Linked DNA regions of Rhinolophus ferrumequinum. The protein of the gene in region 2 interacts with the protein of the main gene of each other region in a pairwise test. Links are inferred from orthologs where the notes say so. Each region holds a gene or a part of one and is shown on either strand. Other genes may lie near its edges.

Evidence for each region. The genes of interacting proteins can lie anywhere in the genome.
Region 1: the proteins of KLC3 (region 2) and TSNAX interact in binary tests that used the Homo sapiens proteins (3 or more experiments, as listed by UniProt). The two-hybrid records come from large-scale screens. The link is inferred for Rhinolophus ferrumequinum from reciprocal best matches to the Homo sapiens genes KLC3 and TSNAX.
Region 3: the proteins of KLC3 (region 2) and CCNH interact in binary tests that used the Homo sapiens proteins (3 or more experiments, as listed by UniProt). The two-hybrid records come from large-scale screens. The link is inferred for Rhinolophus ferrumequinum from reciprocal best matches to the Homo sapiens genes KLC3 and CCNH.

Annotation. Positions count from the first base shown.
Region 1 is NC_046310.1:25,441,147-25,448,584, forward strand, and holds the start of TSNAX (translin-associated protein X), read right to left. Parts: upstream 3,021-7,438; 5' UTR 2,833-3,020; coding exon 2,817-2,832; intron 2,360-2,816; coding exon 2,255-2,359; intron 1-2,254.
Region 2 is NC_046298.1:41,721,515-41,729,151, reverse strand, and holds the start of KLC3 (kinesin light chain 3), read right to left. Parts: upstream 3,098-7,637; 5' UTR 2,998-3,097; intron 612-2,997; exon of another isoform or gene 525-611; intron 228-524; 5' UTR 220-227; coding exon 1-219. UniProt on the Homo sapiens protein: Kinesin is a microtubule-associated force-producing protein that may play a role in organelle transport. Plays a role during spermiogenesis in the development of the sperm tail midpiece and in the normal function of spermatozoa.
Region 3 is NC_046290.1:56,804,066-56,811,427, forward strand, and holds the start of CCNH (cyclin-H), read right to left. Parts: upstream 3,021-7,362; 5' UTR 2,881-3,020; coding exon 2,764-2,880; intron 2,477-2,763; exon of another isoform or gene 2,303-2,476; intron 120-2,302; coding exon 1-119. UniProt on the Homo sapiens protein: Regulates CDK7, the catalytic subunit of the CDK-activating kinase (CAK) enzymatic complex. CAK activates the cyclin-associated kinases CDK1, CDK2, CDK4 and CDK6 by threonine phosphorylation.

The DNA.
Region 1 (7,438 bases), on a different chromosome or scaffold from region 2:
GTATCTGGTCTATTAAACATGAGATTATCACAAAATTATCACATATAACTACTTTAAAAAATTATTTCCAACTACCTCCCTAAGTAACGTAAAGTTTTTTAAATTACTTTACCATATACAATATAAACATTCCCCAAAAAGAAACTAGAATTTAATTAAACGTTATAACTTTTGATAACATCAACTGTCTAAAGTTTCAAGCTCTAGTCATTGAAACACCTGTAAACCATTTAACTCTTCATAACCACTTTATTTCAGAAGCATTGTCACACCAAAGATGCCTGTCCCGTAAGGAGCACCCAACAGATGTATTTTGCATGAATTAAAAAAAAGAAAAACCCAGAACTTGAATAAACCAGTAACCAAATTAGTAGTTGACAAGGGCCTAAATACATCTGGTCTTTTATTATTGAGATAACAATTAGGCTATGAGTTTTGTCTAATAGTTCAAGACAACCATTTACTGATTATGAATATGTTAACGACCACTGTGAACTAATTACTATGAATACAAAGTTAAACAAGACAGTTCCTATCCTCAATGAGCTTAGTACAGTAGAAGGCAGACATATAAACAAAAAATAAAATGTGACCATGCTATTATAAATATATGTAAAAGGTTCAATAAAGCAGGAACCACATTTTTCTGGTTCACCACTAACACATGCTAGAATACAGTGGACGTTCAATAAACGTCTCATGACTGAATGAATGGATAATGAATGAACAAAATGTTTGTCACCAAGTTTCCTTGAGAGAAAAGTCAGAAAGGCTTCAAAGGGAAAAAGCGACTTGAGCTAGGTCTTGAACAAAACCACAGCAAACCAGAGGGACAATGGGGCACCAAGTTAGAAGGAATTCCAAGCTTAAAGAACTATGTGCGAAAAGGTAGGCAGAAGCATAAAACAGCAAAATCAGCTTGGAAACAAGCCGCTGTGCGTGTGTCAGAGCACAAGGGCGGGAATATCGGCCAGGCCCGCTGTCTTCCTCCAGCCACAGCACAGCGGGAGCCCTGTGCTCTGTCCTCAGTCACGACCAGTTCTCACACCTCTCAGGTGCTGTGGTGGCTCTACAGTATGTTCACAAGTTATTCCTCCCTTCAAAAGGTGGGACCTAGTTCCCTTCCCCTTAAATCAATGTAGCAAAAAGTGCATGATGTCTGAGATTGGGACATAAAGGGACTGTGGTTTCCTCCTTGCTGTGTGTGGGAAGCCCCATGCCATAACATGAGGACACTCAAGCAGCACTATGGAGGCTGGCTGTTGGCAGAAGCCCTCCCTTGTCAATAGCTGGGGACCCTCGGACTCCAATGCAGGCTTCGGATGACTGCGAGTTAGAACCAACAGCTAAGCCCCTCTCAGGTTCCAGAACCACGGAAACTATAAGGTATAGGATGGCGAACCAGAGGACGAAGAATTTTGTTTCATGTTTTGTTTTGAAATGTGGAACACCCTGACGAAGTTAATATACTGAGAAAAGGGGGGCCGTGCATACACATATATCTATGTCCATGTATGATTTACTAATAGATAGGAGTCCCACTCTGTGCAAAGTGCTAGTCAATACAAAAATATAGTCCATCTTCAAAAGTCTAGTTGAGGAAACACAACCAATACACGTTAAAAAAATGTTAAATGTATGTATAAACACACACCTGATACACGTGGTCATGTGCCACCTAATGACGTTTTGGTCAACAATGGACCTCACATACAATGGTGGTCCCCTAAGATTATAACGGTGCTAAAACTTTCCTATCACCTAGGGACTTCACTGCCTTCCTAACGTGGTAGCAATGCATTCCTCTCGTGTTAGTGGTGCTGCTGGTGTAAACAGACCTACTGTGCTGCCGGTCACACAACAGTCCAGCGCGTGCAATTACCGTAGGAGGCTGGACCTCTAGGTGTGTGTCCGCGCACTCTGTGTTCACAGAAGGATGAAATCACCTTACGAGCATTTCTCCAGGTCATTAAGCAGCACGCGTGACCGTGTGTGTGTTTATCTGTATGACATTTCATATTAAACAATGTTTACCTGTGCAACTGTAACGGGAAAAAAGGGCAAGACACTTGTACTCTTGAATTTCATGGCAGACCTAGCACCATCCAAAACCTCCAGGAAAAGTAAAATGTTCACATATGTACATCTTACATTCTTAGGCGTTATTTTTTCCTTGTGCACAACACTGGCTAAACAATCTTTGTTACAATCTCTTTCTCTTCCCTTCGCCAGCTTAACACTACAGAGAACTTACATTTGAAGGCCAACATCACAGGTGAAGATGAATTAACATCCTTCCCTTCTCTTCTCTGGTTATGTGGGAAATTGTCATGCTTCCTTTTCCTGAACCCTCCAGATCCTTACGTAGAGAAGGAGGAAAAAGTCGGATAGGGTTCCTCCATCACCAAGAGGCGACAAAACATAACGCAGGCAGGCAAACCCCTTCTTTCCGTTAATACCAGACGCCCACAGGGCCCTCGCTTTGGAGGCCTTCTCAGCCTGATGCAAAAGCCCCGCGTCTTCTCCCCAAACCTCCAGCTCCCTCCGCCAGGCCTCCCACCCACGCGCTCCCTGATCTGGCACAAGGTGGAGCAATTACTGAACTAACATTTGTAAAAAAACAGCTTGAGGACCCAGGAAAATGAGAAGTGTAAACAAAGCCAGTGTGGCCCGGAAAATCACCAGGGCCGCCGCCCCTCACCCCGAGCCTGCAAAGGGAGAGGGCATCCCTCGGTGAGAAGTGGGAAATCCGACCAAAAGGCTGGACATCCAATCCCCTCTGAATAAGTAACACCCAGCGCTCTTGAGAACGCCACCTTCTTTGTTGCTCATGTCGTCACGGCCAAAGGTGCGACGAGCCGCGACTCAGGGCCTTGGAGCCGGGGAAGTGCGCAAGGTGACGGCCGGAGAGCCTGCCGAGGCGCCTTTTCAGCCGGCCGACGTCGACGCACGGACGGAAGCGCGCGCCCGCAGCCACTCAAACCTCCGCCTTCGTCCTCGCACACTTCCGGCTTGTATCCCAGCCCCGCCGCCACTGACTCCGCCCCGAGCGTGGCCCGGGGACCTCGTGCCTACGTGCCTTCCTCTTGCCTGCCCTCTGCTATGCCTGAAGGCAGGAGCGACGCTACACGCTTCACTGCATGCGCTGCTAATAGATAAGGCGATGCTTCATCCTGGAGGGGATAGCGGTGTGAAGGTGGAAAAGCGGCGTTAAACGTAGGTGATTTTTTTTTTCTCAAGGCGCCTTTGGGATACCCTCGCGTTCCCTCAGTGTGGACCCAGGCTCCCGCGCGGTGTATACTGGGTGTTGTAGTTCGCCCGTGGAGCCGGCCATGCGGTGATGGAGGCTAGTCTCAGAGGAGGGGACCACCAACTACTGAGCTCTTATGGGAGAACCTGCTCAGGATCGGGGACGAACGTGACCGAGTTAGGAGTTTTTAACCTTTCCATTCCTGGCAGTGACTCCTGGCGCTAAAGTGATGGAAATATGCAAGTCAGTAAGTGGATGGCGTACCTAGCATTTTCTCTGAGAAGGTAAAAGACGCTCTTCTGTTGTCCTCCCCCACACCGCCCCTCTCCCTGTCTTTCGCTTTGTCCCCCCTCCTCCGTCCTCTATCACTTTACTCCTTTGTTCCTGGCTCTGTGGAGCCAGGCTGCCTGTGTTCAAACTCGTCTCCACCACTGAGTGGTTGTGTGACCTTGTGGAAGTAATTAATCTCTGGACCTCAGTCTCTTTATCTGTGAAATGGGGATAGAATAGTACCCGCCTCGCAGGATTACTTGAAGACTAAATGAGTTACTACTAAGGCGCATGGAAGAGTGTCTTTCACATAATAAATGCTCAGGTAAATATTATCTCGGATACTTTTCTCCCACCATCAATCTTAAAAAAAAAAATAGAGGTCAGTAATAATAATAACAGGCGTGGACCACCAAATCGTGAGCGTTCAATACGGGTGAAGCTGCCACGTCTTACTGGACTCTGTGCCCACCCCACCCCGATACTGCCTTAGCGCAGTGCCTTTGTACGCCTGCGTAAGCGCTTGTGGAAGAACGATGTCCCCATCATCAAGATGGGTAACTAAGGAGCAAGCCAGCGTCCTCTAGATACAAACTCTGGCTAAGGCTTAGTAAATTGGATGACCTAGGCCCAGTAGGGAAAACTCAAGTATGTTTTATTGCACTTTCTCAAAATAACCTCCATATTGTAGACACCTACTGTACACAGTTTTCCTCCTTGTTAATTTAGGAACAAAGGAACAGTAACTGAAATAGCTTGGCTAGAATAGGGCAGTCATTTCAACTCCCTGACACAAGTGTGTCATGGGAAGGTGTTCTGCTGTGAGTAATCTCTAGGGTCCTTTCCAACCCTGAAGCGAGAAGGTAACCACCCTTCATATCTTTGCATTCCTTTGAATGCATGCACTGATTAGCCAAATTCCTTGTGGATAAAATAGGCTACTGAGGACCTGGATTGAACTCTTGGTTTTTGAATGTTGGCAAATCATTTTCAGTTTGTGTGAGGTCTGACCCTGCTGTCATAATCCATCAGTACTCTCCCTACTCTTTGATTAGAGGTGACTGGACTATGAGGGGAAAAAAGGACAACTCTGATATAAATGTAATCACTGTAATGTGACTCCCTCTAGATCCAAGGGAGCCAGTAGTTATGAGCATTATTTTACCATAGTGTGGAAAAGGGTGTTTCTCCTGACTCTACTGGAAAAGCATTTCCCAAGACCTCAACTTTCCAAAACCTGGAACAGCCATATTTCATCTGCCACCACTCTTGTTCACTTTCTCAACTGCAGTTGTGTTATGTGAACTGCTTTTCACTGATTCCCATAAATGTAAAGATTACGATACTAAGTTTTATAACCTGTACTGACTTCTGCGTACTTAATGGAGGTGAATCCCAGAAACACTTCCCAGCACTTATTTGCATATGCTGCTACCCCAGGTGTCCCAACAGTAGCTACTCCTTTGTCAGAAAATACCTCTCAACCACTGGGACCACCTGCAAAAGGCATCTCTACCTTGACCATCTCCTTGTTTTATTGTTTCAGATGCACACACATAGTTTTGATATTTGGCAAAACATAGTTTTAGTTGTTAAAGAAAAACTACCACCCCAGATGGGAAGAAGAAACTAAAGATTTTCAGTAAGACCTTACTTCTGGAATGGGGCCTGTCATGCAGGGTGGCATGAGGGGTCTCTGGTCCCACTCCCCACACAAGAACGCAGGACATGGTGAGGCCAAACAGGAACACCCACGGAGCCATAGGTAGGGGAGTCATACCACTATACTGTCACTGGCAGCTGGGTTGGAGACACAGGAACCAGGAGCCACACAATTCTCAACCCTCACTGTGCCGCTTGCAGACTCAGCCCCCATCTTCTTGCTAGCCCCCCTTTTTTCTGCTAGCGTAGCCACGGCAGTTATATTAGTGCCCAATGGCTCACTGGTTACAGCTGACGGCCAACTAGCCACAGCTGATGGCCATTTAATCAGTCGATGGCCATTTACTCCCTGAGCCAGCACCTTTCTATGTGAGGCCGAGAGCCTGGAAACTGCTTTTTAGGGCTCTGTCCCCACACTCCACCCCTACAGGGTCTCGCCTCACAATCTACGCGACAAGCGTCTTCCGCGAGGAGCCCTGTGCGAGGAGCCTGGAGGTGAACGCTATTTCCTGGACACAGCCAAGCTCTCTGGTCACAGCCAGGTTTTCTCAGGGCACCACCAGTACTTCTGGGCACAGCCAGACTTCCTGGGCTTCTTAGGGTACCACCAGTCTCCCCGGACACAGTTAGGGCCTCTCAGGGCACTGCCACTCTCTCTGGACACAGCCAGACTTCCTGGACTCAGCCAGGGCTCTCAGGGCACTGCCACTCTCTCTGGGCTCAGCCAGACTTCCTGGACTCAGCCAGGGCTCTCAGGGCACTGCCACTCTCTCTGGGCCTCTCAGGGTACCGTGCTGGAACAACAGCGGCTCACAGTCAAGGTGCTTACATATTCGCAGTGGTGGCCAGTCAAGACACAAAAGCAAACATCCGCCAGTTCCACTACATGGTGGTAAAAGAGATCTAGACAGAAGGTGTTACTTTGGGCACCTTTGGTATATATATGGTAATTAAAGCCACCAGAATGAATGGAATCTAGGGAGGCTGTCATGCAGGAGACCCTGCTCGCTATGCCCTGTGTCATGCAGGGTGGCATGAGGGGTCTCTGGTCCCACTCCCCACACAAGAACGCAGGACATGGTGAGGCCAAACAGGAACACCCACGGAGCCATAGGTAGGGGAGTCATACCACTATACTGTCACTGGCAGCTGGGTTGGAGACACAGAACCAGTAGCAACACAATTCTCAACCCTCACTGTGCCGCTTGCAGGCTCAGCCACCATCTTCTTGCTAGCCCCCACTTGCTGCTAGTATAGCCACGGCAGTTATATTAGTGCCCAATGGCTCACTGGTTACAGCTGACGGCCAACTAGCCACAGCTGATGGCCATCTGATCAGTCGATGGCCATTTACTCCCTGAGCCAGCACCTTTCTATGTGAGGCCGAGAGCCTGGAAACTGCTTTTTGGGGCTCTGTCCCCACAGTGCCCTTTCCTCCTCCTATTGTTGCATTCCAGTTTCCCACATTTGAATGTTCTGAATGTTTCCCACATTGAAAGTTCTGAACCTTTCAAGTGCACCTGTTTTTATTCAGTTTATAAATCCTCATATTTGTCACCTTTACAGAGAAAAAAAAATCACATATCAAAATTGGTTTTGGGCATTGAAAAAAAATCACATAATCAAGTAAGAGAAGAGATATAGACCCTCAAAAGATTTCTGTGTCAGCGTTTATGTTATCATGTAGTTATTACATAAAATCTGGAGAGTGGGTTTGGTGTCAGGGGAAAGTATCATAATATTTTAAAGATAACCTGTAAGGTCTGAGTGGTTTTGTGAAGTGTACACATGCCAATTCACACATTTATATGATGTTCTGGTTCTTTCCTAGAGAAGGAAGCTGGTATTTGAGGGAGTGAAAAGGGATGGGCAAAACCACCATGGGATACCATGTCACATCCACTGGGGTATAATTTTAAAAAACAACAAAACAGTGTTAGTGAGGATATGGAGAAATAGGCACTCTCACACACTGTAGGTTTGTAAAATTTTGCAGCCACTGTAGGAGACAGTTGGCGTCTCAAAGAGTTAAACTTAGAATTACCATCTGATCCAGTAATTCCACTCCTAGGTACATACCTTGTACACAGATGTTCACAGCAGCTCTATTCGCAATAATCAAAAGGTGGAAACCACCCAAATGTCCATCAGTGGCTGACTAGATAAACAAAATATGGTATGTTCATACAGTATTATTTAGCAATAAGAAGGAAATACTATCCATGCTATAAAAACAGACACATAAATCAATGGAAC
Region 2 (7,637 bases):
ATGGCTCACCACCTGCTGCTTTTCTTCCAATAGTTCCAAGCCAGCCACTGGACCCTGCCCTGCCAGGGCCTCCACCAGGTGCCCAGCCAGGTCATGGTGTTCTGTACGTAGGGCCTCCAGCCCCTGCACCACTTGTCGCGTCTGCCGCACCAGCTCCTCAGGATTCAGGCGCTCTGGGCCCAGCCCCACACTTCCGGGGGCTGCCACCTGCACAGACATTGCTGTTCCTGAGGGGCAGCGGGATTGGGGAATCACTGCCAAAGCCAGGCATGCCAGCCCTTCAGCCTCCACGCCATTCTGACCAGCAGGACTCCTAGTTACCTCCCTAGCCAGCCATCCCAGCCAGCCCTCTGCCTCCGTACCCTCCTCTTTCCAGCCAGCACCCTGTCTCACACCCATCCTGGCCAGCCCGCAACTGGGAACATTCTAATCTAGCTTTGCCTGTCCTCAGCCACGAGGGCAACTCCAAAACCCCAAAGATGACCAACCAAAAGAAGGCAAACAGCTGGCTTGTGGCTTCCTACCTGCCCCCAGCTCATGTGGCCAGCCCTCGCCACCCCAAGGGCCCTAGATACCCTGGCCCGGACCTCCTGGCTGTGTGACCTGGGACTGGAGGCAGCCTCCTCCGCTGGGTGTGTGGGGCGGGGCGTGTGGAGGCGGCAGCTTCTCGTGAGCTCACTCTTAGGGTGTTTTTGTTGAGAACCAGTCAGACCACTGGGGGTGGGGTGGGGCAGGAGGAGCAGCCGAGGGGCTGGGGTACCGGAAGCAGAGGAGGCCTCTAGATGGGGGGGTGGGGCTCAGGGCACCCTGTATGGGCTCTGGGGGCCTAAGGAGCTGACAGACCCTGAGGGATCAGGGGCTCCACCCTCTACTGCAGACAGGCTCAGCCCGCCCAAGGCGTGTTGGGACACACGTGTGGCAGGTGTGGCCCATGGATGTCACACTGGCCTCGTGACAACTGAGGGTCTGAGGCCCAGATTGTAATGGGTGGGGGGGTCTCACATGAAGGACTTCATGTGGCTTGTATGTGAGTGACAAAGTCAATGACACAGTTGGTGGTGGCTCAGGCCCTCATATACACACTTACACACATGCACACTCCCCTCTCAGAAATACAACTCAGTACACTCTTTCTCCTCTGAAAAATCAAACACATCACATACACTCACACACACACATTTTCCTTTCAAAATACAACCTAATGCAACACACTAATGCAGGCGCACACACATACACTCCCGTCTTAGAAATATAAACTGACACACAGATATATTTTCCTGTCAGAAATAAAAACCAACACATGCAGAAACGAACTCTCTGCCTCTCCTCCCTCACCCGCGAAAATATAACCAAGTCTCTCACATTCCGAGTGTCTCCTTGCACTTATGCCCATGACACATGCCTCTCCCACACTTCCGCAAGCAGCCCACTCTCCGTTGTATGCCTAGTACTTCCTCCGAGCACACACACACATTCCCAGGATTCGCTGTGGACCTGTCACCACCTTCCCCATGTCCTCCAACACCCCCCACCCCCTTGCAGGGCTGGCCAGGGATTTGTCCATCTGCACATGAGCACACGGATACACATATAGAGCTTCAAACATGGACGTGCAAATGGCCCCTGAACTCAGACTCAGTTATGCTGCCATAAGTGGGTGCCCAGGGCACAGACAGCTGTGGGGACATGCACACACCCTCTGAGGCATCTTCACTCTAGCAGCTCTGTCCACCATGAGCAGCCCAGCGGTTTCTGCACCTGCTTGCAAGTTCACAATCATATACGCTTAGACACACAGTAAGGGTAGCACATAATCCTGTGTGTTTTATAGATCGCCGGTTCTCATCACCCTCAACCTCTCTCTTTCTGTGTATGTGTTTGGGCATTTATCCATCTCTCTTTCTATATATGTGCGTGTGTATGTATGCCACACCATCCTTAGTCTCACACCTCACACACAAACCCCATAAACAGTCAAACACAATCACACAAGTTCAAGAGTCATCCTGACAATCACAAATCCTGCCGATTTATACAACCTCCCACAACCTCATGTACAATCTCAAATAACTGAGCTGAATGCTCCAGACACAGCCTCGCCTGCACCACCCACAGCCAACCACAGTAACAGTCACAGCGACACGCACAGCCACATAGAACTGGGGCTGTTTCCTCGACACACTAGCTCATACACTCGTACAGTCCTCCAAGCAGCTGACTCCCCTTCCCGTGCTCAGACCTGTCACACAACCACACAGCTGACAATGATGATCAGACACACCCCACACAACCATTCTGTTGCACACATTGCCCACCTCCCTGCCACCCCCCATATGACTGGCAGAAAGACAACCACAGCTATGCAACCTTAGTCACATTCATACCTAATCCTACAAAGAGTTCAACTCCCTCCCGTACACACAGAGCATTACAGACACACAATCAGAGGTCTCCCACATTTTCACATCACTGAAACAGCCCCACACCATTTCACACAGTCCCTGTGTGCCCTCCTAGGGTTACACAAACAGTCCATGTCCCCTTCACATCCATACTCACAGCCTGACACTATCTCGACATACACCTGAGCTTCATACACCATCACTAATACACACGCACCACACACTATATCCATACACTCGCAGGCAGGACGTCCCCATCATGGTCAGCCCGGCGTAGCACCCAACTTACCCCTGGCCGGCCTGCCCAGACCAGTGCACCCCTGCTTCCCAGCAGCGGTCACAGGGGGCCCCTCTCTCTCCCTAAGCCCCGCCCCCGCTCCTGTTTACCTGTGCACGGGGAGGGGGTGGGGCCCCAGCTGGGCCTCCAGAGTCGGGGGAGCCCCAGGGCTGGGGAGGGGGCATCCAGGGGCCCCCAGGCCTGTCCTCGTTGACAGGCCAGCGGGCCCAGGGGAGCGACAGGCCCAGCCTTCACCCTCCGCCCCCGTCCACATCCTCGCGACCCCCGGGACCCCCGCCCCACACTTCCGGCGCCCACCTGACTGCGGCCGGCTCCCAGACCCGCTCTGCTGTGCAGGGCCCTGCGGTCTCCCACACGCCGCTCTCGGCTGCGCCTAGCGTCTCGGGCCTGGGGTGGGTCCTCCCAGGGGCGGGGCGGCCTGGAGCCCTGCCCCCTGCAGGTGAGACCGGCCCCGCCCACCGCCCAGGGAAAGTTTAGCCCCACAGCGAAGGCCCAGTGGGAATAGCACCACCTCCGAGGAGGAGCCTGGAGCCTCCAGGGCACGTTGAACCTGAGGATGATTCCAGCGTGCTAGAGGCCTGGAAACGGGGACGTCGGCGAGCCAGCAACTTAAAAACTTGGAATCTTGGAAACTTTAGATGCCAGAACCATGGTCTTGCAGTGTCAGCTGCCAGGCCTTTGCCTTGGCTGTGCTCCTGCTTGAACCTCTCTTCCCACAGATCTCACCTTTTTTCTGGTCTCTTCTCATAGGCCGCTTCCTCCAAGAGGCCTTGCCTGACTGCCCCTTCTAAATCACACCCTCCCACCAAACCACTACCTCGTTCCCACTCTTGATTTGGTTCACAAAACTTTTCAGGGCCTACAATTATTTTACGTAACATTATATCACATTACAGTGGTACCTCGGTTTTCGAACATCTCCGCTGACGAACATTTTGGTTTATGAATGCCGTTAACCTGGAAGTAAATGCTTTGGTTTTCGAACACGACTCAGAAGTCGAACTTGTCACACGTCTTCCACTGAGTGCAAGATTCTGAGGTCTAGCTGTCGGCTGTTTTCGAACGTTTCAGAACTCGTGGATTACATTAGAAAACTGAGGTACGACTGTATTATGTTATGTTACATCACATTATTGACGCGGTAATGTAATGGCTAAAAATTGGGCTCTGGGTTCGAATAAGATCTCAGCACTTATTGGCTGTGCAGGCCTTGGGCAAGTAACGTAACCTCTCTGTGCCTCAGTTTTTCTAATCTGTAAAATGGGGAGAGTCAAAGGCTGTGAGGATTGAATGAGTTAATAAATGGATAGAAAGCATTTAGCAAATATTAACTACTGGTTGTATGACATGTTATTGGTTCTCTCCTCCTAGAATGTCAGCTCCTGAGAGCAGAGCTCTGTATGGTCAGCACTGCATCTTTAGCACTAGAATAGAACCTGGTACAAAGGAGTTTCTCAGTAAAGATTTTTTTGTTTGTTTTTTTAAATTAAAGTTTATTGGGGTGACAATTGTTAGTAAAGTTACATAGGTTTCAGGTGTACAATTCTGTAATACATCATCTATAAATCCCATTGTGTGCTCACCACCCGGAGTCAGTTCTCCTTCCATCACCATGTATTTGAGAGTTTTCTGAGTGACTGGATGACTGAGTCAAGACCTAGAAACGTAAACTGGCCAAAGCTGGGTGCACAGGATTCCAACATCACAGAATTTATTTAAAGAGGGCTTTTCCGGACCTCTGCCGTATCCTGGTCACTGCACTACAAGAAATTTCCAGCAGAGGGCACTGCTGATCCGTGAACCAGGCCCCAAATTCCAGCCCAGCTCCGCACCTGTTCTCCAAGCCCCAAGGCAAAGGCTCCCTCCTCTTGGAAGTTTTCTCTGCCCGATATCCCCAGGCTGGATGAGACGCTCCTTCCGAACTCCTGCAGGCTCCTGGGCTCCCACATCCCAGCCTTTCCCATTCTGAGTCATCATCTCCCACACTGGACTCACTATTGTGTCCCCAGTGCTACCCAACACAGGAGGAACCCCGAGAAAGCACTCGGGAGAGTGAGTGTTGATTGAATGATGGAAAATAAAACCTAAATTCACACTCTAACTTCTCCAGATTATTTTTAGGGAACAGAGTAGAGGAGGCAGCTGAACACCCTCCTTCCCAACTCCCAATTCTTTTGGCCTCAGGACACTGCGTGGTGGTTCTGCCATATGTTTACTAGGAGGCAGCCCAGGGACTAGAGAGGAGCCAGGCCGCCAAGGTGCAACTCCCTGCTCCGTCATTTGCTAGCTGTGTGACCCCTGAGCCAGGAACTAACCTCTCTGAGCCTCAGGTTCCTGGTCTGTAGCATGGGACTCACAAAGGTAACCTACTTTATGAGACTGTGGTGGGTATTAATGAATAATCCTCGTAAAAGGCTTAGCTCAGAGTAGCTCACGGTAAACACTATTAATGTGGCTGTGGGCCAAGGGAGGGAATTGGAGTCAAGTGGATCTGAGTTCAAATCCTGCTCTTGTCATTTCCTTTCCATGTGACCTGGGGCAACCAATGATTTTCTGAGGACCTATTTCCTCATCTATAAAACTGGAATGATCAAGCTCACCACATAGCATGCGTGGTGAGGATTAAATGAGACAAAGTCTGAAAGAAGAAAATGTTAACTAAGGTGGTCATTTCTTTAGGCCAGCCTTGTGCCAAGCACTTTTGCACACCAACGAGGACTGGAATGTCTGAATTCTTACCCAGGATGGGCCGGATGCCATGTCTTATAAATTAACCCTGTTAATCCTTACACCAACCTGCTGAGGTAGCTGATGATGTCCATTCCACAGGAGAAGATGAGGCACCGAGAGGTCAAGTGACTCATTCGATCACGCAGCCAAGGAGTAGCAGAGTCCCTGAATCCATACAGCCACCCTGAAACAGGCACTATGACTGGCCCCATCTAAAGAGGAGGAAACTGAGGCTCACAGAGGAAAAATCTCATGTCCAAGACCACAGCCAAGAAGTCACTCAACAAAACTTCCATCCTACCACTTAAGGCCTCAATTTGCCACGTCAGGAAAATGGGTGGATGGGTTGGGGGCTTTTCTATTTTCACCTTTGGCCATAATTTTTAAAAAGCTCCCCCTTTTTTAATTTACAAAGTAATGCACTGTCAGAAAAAAAAAATGTTCCCAAAGAACAAGACTATATAGTGAAAAGTAGGTCTTTGCCTCCCTTGATTCTCAGACACCCTTCCCAGAAGTAAACATGATTGCCAGTTTCTAATATCTTTCAGAGATATTCCATGGATATGAATTGCGTGTGGATGTATGAGCATCAGTGCCCATTTAAGAAAAACACAAATAAAAAAACCCCTCACCCATGGAGGTAGACTGACGGCCTTGACTTTGTGTGGTCATGTGACTTGCTTTGGCCAATGGCAGAGGAGCACAAGTGACAGTCGTGCCACTTCGGAGCTTAGGCCTTAAGAGGCTTTGACCATTTCCTTCTGTGTCCTGGCATAGGCCCGAGAAACACTCTCCCTGTATAGCGGCTCCCCATTCAGCCCACACCCCACAACATCTACATATTGTTGAAAGATAAACTGAGGCACATTCAAATTTTTAAGAGTTTATTTGAGCAAAAATCAATTTGAATTGGGCAGCATCCAATAGAACAGATAGAAAGGAGCTCCGAGGAGCTGTACAAAATGAAAGGCTTGTAGGCAGAAGGGAAATGGAACAAGGAAGTTATTCTAGGCAAACCAGCAGCTTGGTTATTGCAAGGTCACTTTCCCTTAGGAGACGGCAGGGGTCTATGAGGCAGATTACCTAACTAGTGCTGATTGGGCAATTCCTGATTGACAGGTTTAAGATTCCATGTCTGGGAGAGCTGAAACTGTCATTAAGTCTTGGTGACATGGGGCTTAGCATAAATCCATTTGGGGCCGGTTGTCTGGTTTTCAACAGTATGGAGCAGAGCTTCCCAGCTGAGCCCTGCTCAAATCAGCTAAACCCACATCCGTTTTAAAGCTAATGCATTTCGGGGTGGTGTGTCTCACAGCATTTTTGTGGCAATAGGTATATATGAGGTCAGACAATTAAGTTTGAGAACTTGTTGCAACAATGTTGCTAACCTTTTTTGATATCAGAGGGATTATTCATTATGAATTCGTACCAACTGGACAAACAGTTAACCAAGTTTACTATTTGGAAGTGCTAAAAAGCCTGCATGAAAAAGTTAGACAACAATTCATGGTTCTTGCATCACGACAATGCACCAGCTCACACGGCACTGTCTGTGAGGGGGTTTTTAGCCAGTAAACAAATAACTGTATTGGAACACCCACCTTACTCACCTGATCTGGCCCCCAATGACTTCTTTCTTTACCTGAAAATAAAGAAAATATTGAAAGGAAGACCTTTTGATGAGGTTCAGGCATTAAGAGTAACATGACGTATACTGGATCCTGTGTCTCCCCTGCTCACAACCCTCAGTGGCTTCCATCCCACTCAAAGTGATATGGAAACTCCTCCACAGCCCCCAGGGCCTGCAGGCTCTGCTCCTGTCCCCTCCTCAGCCTCATGTTCTTCCTTCCACTTTCCCCTCTACCCCATCTGCTCCAGCCCTGAAGCTTCCTCCCTTGTCTCAGATACGCCAAGCCACTCCCACCTCGGGGCCTTTGCACCTGCTGTTCCCCTTCCGGATTCCCCACATGGTTGGCTCTCTCCTCTCCCTCAAGTCTCTGCCCAGATGTCACCTCCCCAGACAGGCCTGACCTCACCTCCCCTGTTGTGCCATCACTTATCACTTACTCTCTTTCAATTTCCTTCAAAGCCCTGTTGTCCCAACATGACAGCATGTATTTACTTGTTCACTCACTCAAATGTCACCTCCATGAGGGCAGGGGTTTTGGCTGTTTTCTGCTGTGTCCCCAATAAGTGCTCAACAAATA
Region 3 (7,362 bases), on a different chromosome or scaffold from region 2:
ACAGACCTTGGCATTGCTGGTTTAAACACTGAACAAAATTCCAATAATCTTTTCTCATAGTATTTGCAGAGTGTCATTTCTTCATGAGGCTCAAGAAAGACTGGATCATTGTGAAGAACCTTTAGATTAAAAGTTACACCAAAAGTTCAGTCAATTGAATCTTAAAATATTTTTCTGTCCAGATTAGTTTCTATTAATATCTCCAGCCAAAGGGAAATATACCACAACTCATTTCCACTTTATAGAATTGTTCATTATTACACAAAATGGCTTTAGGAAAAAATTTAATAACCTAAAATTATACCATAATTTCACAATTTCTCAGAATGTCAATTGGGTATTTGCTTCATTAAGGTATAAGCAATCATGATGGAATGTATGCCTATGCTTACAGGTTTGATGTCATTATTTAGAAATCAAAAAGAAGATATACGTGGTTCATATTTGGAAAGTTTTCAAGACTTCTTTCTCAGTCAGTTATTAAGTCACACAGGTTGAGGTAAGAATCAACAAGTATTGCAAGGATAATTCTGACCCTGAAAACATTACTTCTTATCCACCTTTGTAAATTCTCTACAGAATGCATTCTAGATGGTTAATAAATACAACTTTACAAAAAATATCCATTAGATGCTGTTACTAGTTTAATTACAATTACCAAAATAGGATATATTGATGTCCTAAACCCCCAGTAGAGGCACACCTCAGAAATAATGTAGGTTCAGTTACCAGACCTCCACAATAAAGCAAATAGTGATCATTTTGCTGGTGGAGGGTTTGCCTTCAGTTAGTGAAGAAAAAAAACAAACACATCTGTGAAGCACAATAAAGCCAAGTTCAATAAAATGAGGTATGTTTGTATGTGACCTCAGAATGTGACCTTATTTGGAAATACGGTCTGTCACGTGGGGTGTCATGCAGGGTCTCTGGTCCTGCTCCCCACAAAAAAACGTGAGGCCAAAAAGTAACATCCATGGAGCCATAGATAGGGGAGTCATACCACTATATTCTCTCTGGCGGCTGGGTTGGAGACACAGGGAGCAAACATCCGCCAGTACCCCAACAAAGGGACTCCCTGCACCCCAGTCTCTCTGGCAGCCAGGCGAGACTCACGAAGTAGGATCCACACAATCCACAATCCGCCGTCCACTTTTCTGCCTGCCAACCAACGAACCAACCTAGCCACAGCAGTTATATCAGTGGCTAATTGGCTAACTGATAACAGCTGATGGCCAACTAGTCACAGCTGACGGCCATCTACAACCCGAGCCAGCACCTTTCCACGTGAGGCCGAGAGCCTGGAAACTGCTCTCTGGGACTCTGTCCCCACACTGTAGATGTAATCAGATGTACTAGAGTAGAGTTGGTTCCTAATCCAATATGACTAGTATCCGTATAAGAACATGTGAAGATACAGAAACACAGGAAGAACACTATGTAAAGATGGAGGTAGAGATTGGAGTTATGCTGCCACAATTAAAGGAACACCTGGGGTTCCTAGAAGCTGTATGAGGAAAGGAAGGATCCACCCCTACAAGCTTCAGAGAGCAACTACCTGCCAACCTTGATCTCACTAGCCTCCAGAACTGTGAAAAAATACATTTCTCTTGTTTTACACCACAGTTTGTGGTAGTATTTTTATGGCAGCCCTAGGAAACTAACACAGGTGCTAATTTTATAGACAATATGGCATTGCGGTTTAGAGCAGGAATGCTGGAACTAGATTCCTTCCTTGGGTTCAAATCCTGTCTCTGCCACTTACTACCAATGTAGCCTTGATTAGTTATTGCTCTCTGTACCTGTTTCTTCAGCTAGGAAGTGAGGATAATAACAGTCTTTACCTCAGTAGCTGTGAAAATTAAAAGATCTAACACTTGCCAAATGCTTAGAATAGTGCCTGGCATGCAGCACAAAAATAAAGTGATATGAAATAGCTGTGACTTAAAAGTACAGTACCTCAGTCCCAACAATCTTAGACATGGAATACTTGCTGGAGGGAAGCTTGCAGTTACTAGGATGGGTGTTGGAGCTTGTGAGGGAAAGGTGGTTGGTAGCTGTAACAGGGAGAACTTGGCGGGCAGGCCATAATCCAAACCATCTTCAATCAACTGGTTTGTGCAAACGGTGTCTTGTCTCCCCGCCCCCACCCTGCCCCATCCAATCCATTCACCACCAGGATGCCAGAGGGCTCTTTCTAGAACAGCATCTGTAAAGTTAATTTCCCATTTAAAATCTTTCAAAGGTTCCCCATCCCTTCATCAAGTTCAAATTCCTTACTTTCGCTTACAAGCTCCCCGCCTACCTTTTCCAGCCTGTCTTGCACAGGTGCTCTGCTACCACTACAAACGATCTAGAGCATTCCAGGAACCCGCCCTACAACTTCCCACTTTGCACCTGTGGTTCCGTCCTCCGGGAATGTTCTTTCCCCATTTGCTTCGCATCAGCTACTGGGAAAAGCCCTCCCGGAGGTCTCCTTTTGACAAGTGAACGGCTCTGGTTCCGCACTACACGGACATCCTACAAAGTCTCCTACGCCATATTACTGGTTATTTGCCTGCCACTCAACTACGGAAATGGTGTTGTCCGCCTCTGTACCCACAGCACCTGACAAGGTGTTCGCCTGTTTATTAAACAAATGAACGTGCGCTCCGGAGGGAGGAGAAGGGGAGGTGTCCAGAGAGCCCCGGGGGCGGGGGCACTAGATCCCGCAGTTGTTCAAGAGTTAGGAGGTCCGGGCAGCGGGGCGGCCACCCGTGTCCTCACCTTCCCGTTCGCCACCGCTTTGCATTTGAATTTGCGGTTGGCGTCAGCCCGCAATCGTGCCAGCTGCTCCTCACTGGCGAAAGTCCAGTGCCGCTTCTGGCTACTGTTGTGGTACATCCTTAAGTCCGAGACCAGGCCCAGGAAGTCTGGAGAAAAAGACCCCAAACGCCACCACACCGTGGTGTAAAGCAGCTAAACCACGACAGCGCAGGGCGTCAGGCCGTCAGGCGCGGGTGCGCTGACGTCACAATCACGTGGTGACTTCGTCGGCGATCGCGTTTCCGGAGCGGAGAACCTCTCTAGCGCTGATTTAGCCGCCGCCTGCTCCCTAAGTGGCCGGAGCGTACGGATATGCTCCGCCTTTCTGCGAGCCCTGGCTCTAGCTCCGCCCCTTTCCTACAAAGCTTAAAGGAGAAGTGACAGGCTGAGATGGCCAAAGGAATGTAAATTGAGGGTATGTGCAGGCTAACATAATTCACACGGGGTAATCAGAAGAGGGGGCAAGGACTTAGGAGGGTGTCACCTTTTTTAAATAGGATATTCAGAGTAGGCTACACTAAGAAGGTGACATGGAATAAAGACTTGAAAGAGTTGAGGGATTAGGCATATCAGTCACGTGGGAGTGATGCTGGGGCAAAAAGAACAGTGAAGGCCCTAAGGCAGAAGTATTCCTGGCTCTTTGAAGAAAGAATGTGTCTGGAGCACTACCAAAAATCTCTGCCTCAGAGATAACAGAACATGGTTGGAAAACTAGAAGCAGTGCATGTGTATTGTTCTTTATTGCTCTGCCAATAATGTGACCCTATCTTTTTCTGTGCCTTTTCCTTTCCTCTTCTGCTCAATTGGATTGGATTCTGCCAATCCTTTCCCCCATTTCCATCTCCGAGGCCATGACGTATGGTAGTTTTAGGATTTTCTTGAAATCCTCATCTTCATTATTGCCCCAAGGGAAACTTGCAATAAACTATCTGTTAATACTTAAAAGATTCACAATTTTTTTGTTACTAATACTTTCAAAATTGCATTTGAGATACAGAATTTACATGAATTCCAAAAGCCTTTACTAGTTTTGATATCTGTCCCATTTAAGCACACCACGTTCTCCTATGCATCATACATTGGGTTAGATAGATTTACCTACAGCAAATCATTTTTCTAAACACCAACAGATAAAAAATCAGGTAATGAAGATGAGACACAAAGAGTTCAGATATTCAAAAGACCACACAGTTAAAAATAGGTGATAGGATATCTCTAACTCTGCTTTCTGTGAAAATGTTTTTAGCTGCTTAAGAAAGGGAGAGCTTTTTCTTCTTTTTTGTTTCATTTTGGCGAGTACAGTTGAGGGTAAGTAGACTTTGCCAGAGTTATTTGAATTGCACAAACTTACATCATTTGTAGTTTATAACTCTGGAGATCCAGGCACTCCTTGAACATGTGTCAGTAATTCAGACTAGTTAAATTGGCTAAGAGAAAAGAGAAAAAGAGAAAGAAAAAAATATGAGGTTGTTAACCTGGGAAATAAAAAGCCAAAGTGAAAGGCAACAAGCATTTTTTTGAGATCAAAGAATAGCTATTAGGAAAGCAGTGATTCAGGCAGAAACTCAGAAAGTGTTCTGATTTTGGGGGGAAGGCAGGGGTTTTATGAGAAAGGGAAGGGAAATAATTACATGAATAGAAGAAAGGAATTTCTGTTGATGTTAGTAAGCTAATTTTTAGCTATACATGGTTGTGCTAATTCTACAGACTGCCCTTAATTTTCAGTCCTTGTAGTCAGAATGTCTGCTTACTTGTTATTTTTACAAACTGTTTGGAATACAATGTTGGCTTTGCCCAGTCCAAGGATTATTTTTCCCATTCCAAATGTTTGAGGAAAACACATGCAAGGCAGTTCCTTGGAGTGGCTATAATAGCTCTATTTTAAAATGGCTTCGCTTACATCAACTTAATGTTAAGGAGGGACATGGCAAGTTATGACTCCAGTGGATTGTGAGCACCATAAATGATTGTATAACGAAGAATAATTTAAAAGGAGAAAATGAAAGGTAGGCAGGAAAGGAAATGATTTAGATAAATGAATAAAGTCTTAGACCCCTGTCAATTCTATATACCATGTCAATTCTTTTTATTTTGTTTTTCTGAGAGGCATTTGACAACTACTTCAGTTTCATGTAAAGGGAAATAAAAAGGGGCATTTGGGAGAGGTGGCAGAAAATGATTACCACAGGGATAAGAGTATAACTGCTGAATGTCATAATTCATTTAGGAAGACAAATATGAAAAACCTGGTGTTTCTGGTGTAACTATTTTATAAAATCTTTAAAAAATTTTAGTCTATGAAAATTAACCTTGACCATGCTTTTGGAATGTAGAAGAAATTGTACCTAAATTAACCATGGACAAAATAAAGTTGTTGCTGATGCCCTAATATTAGGACTCATATATGATTTCTTTTTCTTAAGGTGAGCCAGGCTGGATGCTGCACCAGTCAGTCTGCCTGAATGACATTCCCCTGTTCAGCTTGTTGAGCATGTTTATTTCTTGTACTATTTCAACCGGAAGGCAGACTTAGAACTTGGACTTAGAACATGGTGCCTTTACCTATTTCCATTTCTAGTTCCAACTAAAAAGTAGCAAGTGTTTCTCTCCACTCTTACGTGTTTATAAAAAAATTCAAACATTGAGAATAGAGAAAAATGTATTTCAATAATTATCCTCCACTCCCCGACGTCCCCATGACTTTTAAATCACAATCTCTGCTGCTAGATGGAGATGTTTCAAACAATAAAAAACAAAATAGACAGAATCTATACTTCCTAGAAGAGCAGTACAAACATTCAAAATTTGAAAACAAAGATAGTACTAATTCATTGGGCTTTACCCAGAAGTGAATGTTAACTAATAGGCATGATTACAGTGCCTTCTTTTAAATAAACACAATCTTTTAGTGTACTGCAGTTGTTAAATTGTGTTGCAGTATGTATTTTTATAACAAACTAAGTATTTTTAATTGCAGACATTACGTCAAAACCAGAGGTTGCCAATCAGATCAAGCGATGCAAAGCAGAGGTCATCTGTTGATCACCCCAGAAGCACTATACTTATCCATATACCATGCCAAAGCTTCCCATGAGAGTATTAAGAATTCCTCTCTCTTGAATTTATCATGTTAAGTGAAATAATTCAGACAGAAAAAGTCGAGAACCATATGACTTCACTCATATGTGGTACATAACACTGAAAGCAAAAAACTAACAAGACAAACAAACAAAGAAACAAAAACTCATGGACACTGACAACAGTTTAGTGGTTCCCAGAGGATAAAGGGGAAGGGGGGTGGTAGATGAGGTAAAGAGGGTAAAATATAAGGAGAACTGATTCTGGGTGGTGACCACACAATGCAGTATATGGATGATGTAGTATAGAAATGTACACTTGAAACCTATAAAATTTTACTAATCAATGTCACTCTAATAAATTTAATTTAAAAAATGAAAGTTTACTCCAGTGTAGAAAACATAAATTTCTCTCTTCCTTTAGGACAATATTCCTTCTTCAGGCTCTGCCCTAGTGATCTTAATGTTTTAGAAAAATAAAGATAAGACTGCCTGATTTTAGGAGTAAAGGTAGAAAGGGAATAAGAAGGGTGAGGGAGTAACCAATAAATATATGTGCAACTTGAAATAGTTTTGCAGTCTAATAAAATATTTTAAGTGGCCTGATTAATTTATAGTCTTTATTTTCCAAACATATCAGTATACTCATATTCACATAGTTTCTGATTTCATGGCTACAAGGAAAATAGAATGGTGTTTTGGAATAAAGCCACATCCATGCTCACAAAAATACAATGTCTTTCTTACTTTAAAATCTGACATGAAACTGTACCCCTTCAGCTACTGACATGGGTTTCTGACATTCTAAATATAGCTTTGCAATGATATGTAAAAACAAGACTTTTGCAGTTCTATTTGATATATACACTTGCCTCTAAAATCCTTTTCTAGTTTGTTTGTTTTTTCCCAGTGACCAAGTTAGGACTAAGAGGAGAAAATATCTAGTTTCTCCAAAACAGGGTACTACTAAAGGAAAAGAAAAGAAAAAAAGAAACAGCATTTAAAAAATATCCTTGATCTAAATGTAACCTCCCAAAACTGAAACACTTTTTCTTTTGTTTTAGGACTATTTAAAATTAAGGTGTAAATAGACTTGACAACATAGTGAGGAGTGAATTCTATAAATTCGTGACCATTTCAGCATATCTTACTAAATCACCACTATACTCAAGGCTTAGTACTAATTGTTAGATGGTGGTGGTGATGGTGATGGGAACATAAAAATGGCTATTTTATAGTTCCTACCTCAGGGTCCTTTGAGTATAGTAGAATAATTATGACATGCACAAATACAGTTTTCTCTCAATGACAGTAACCTTAGGGCTGAATAGGGAGCTGGGTAATAAGATTTCATATCCCTGAATACTGATACCTGGTACTAATGTAGATAAGACCCCTATGTGGTTTGACTCCATGGAAGACCAAGAGCTTAGTTCATTCAGCCCCAAACAGCCATGGTTCAGTCCAAAGGCTTAGTGTCTCT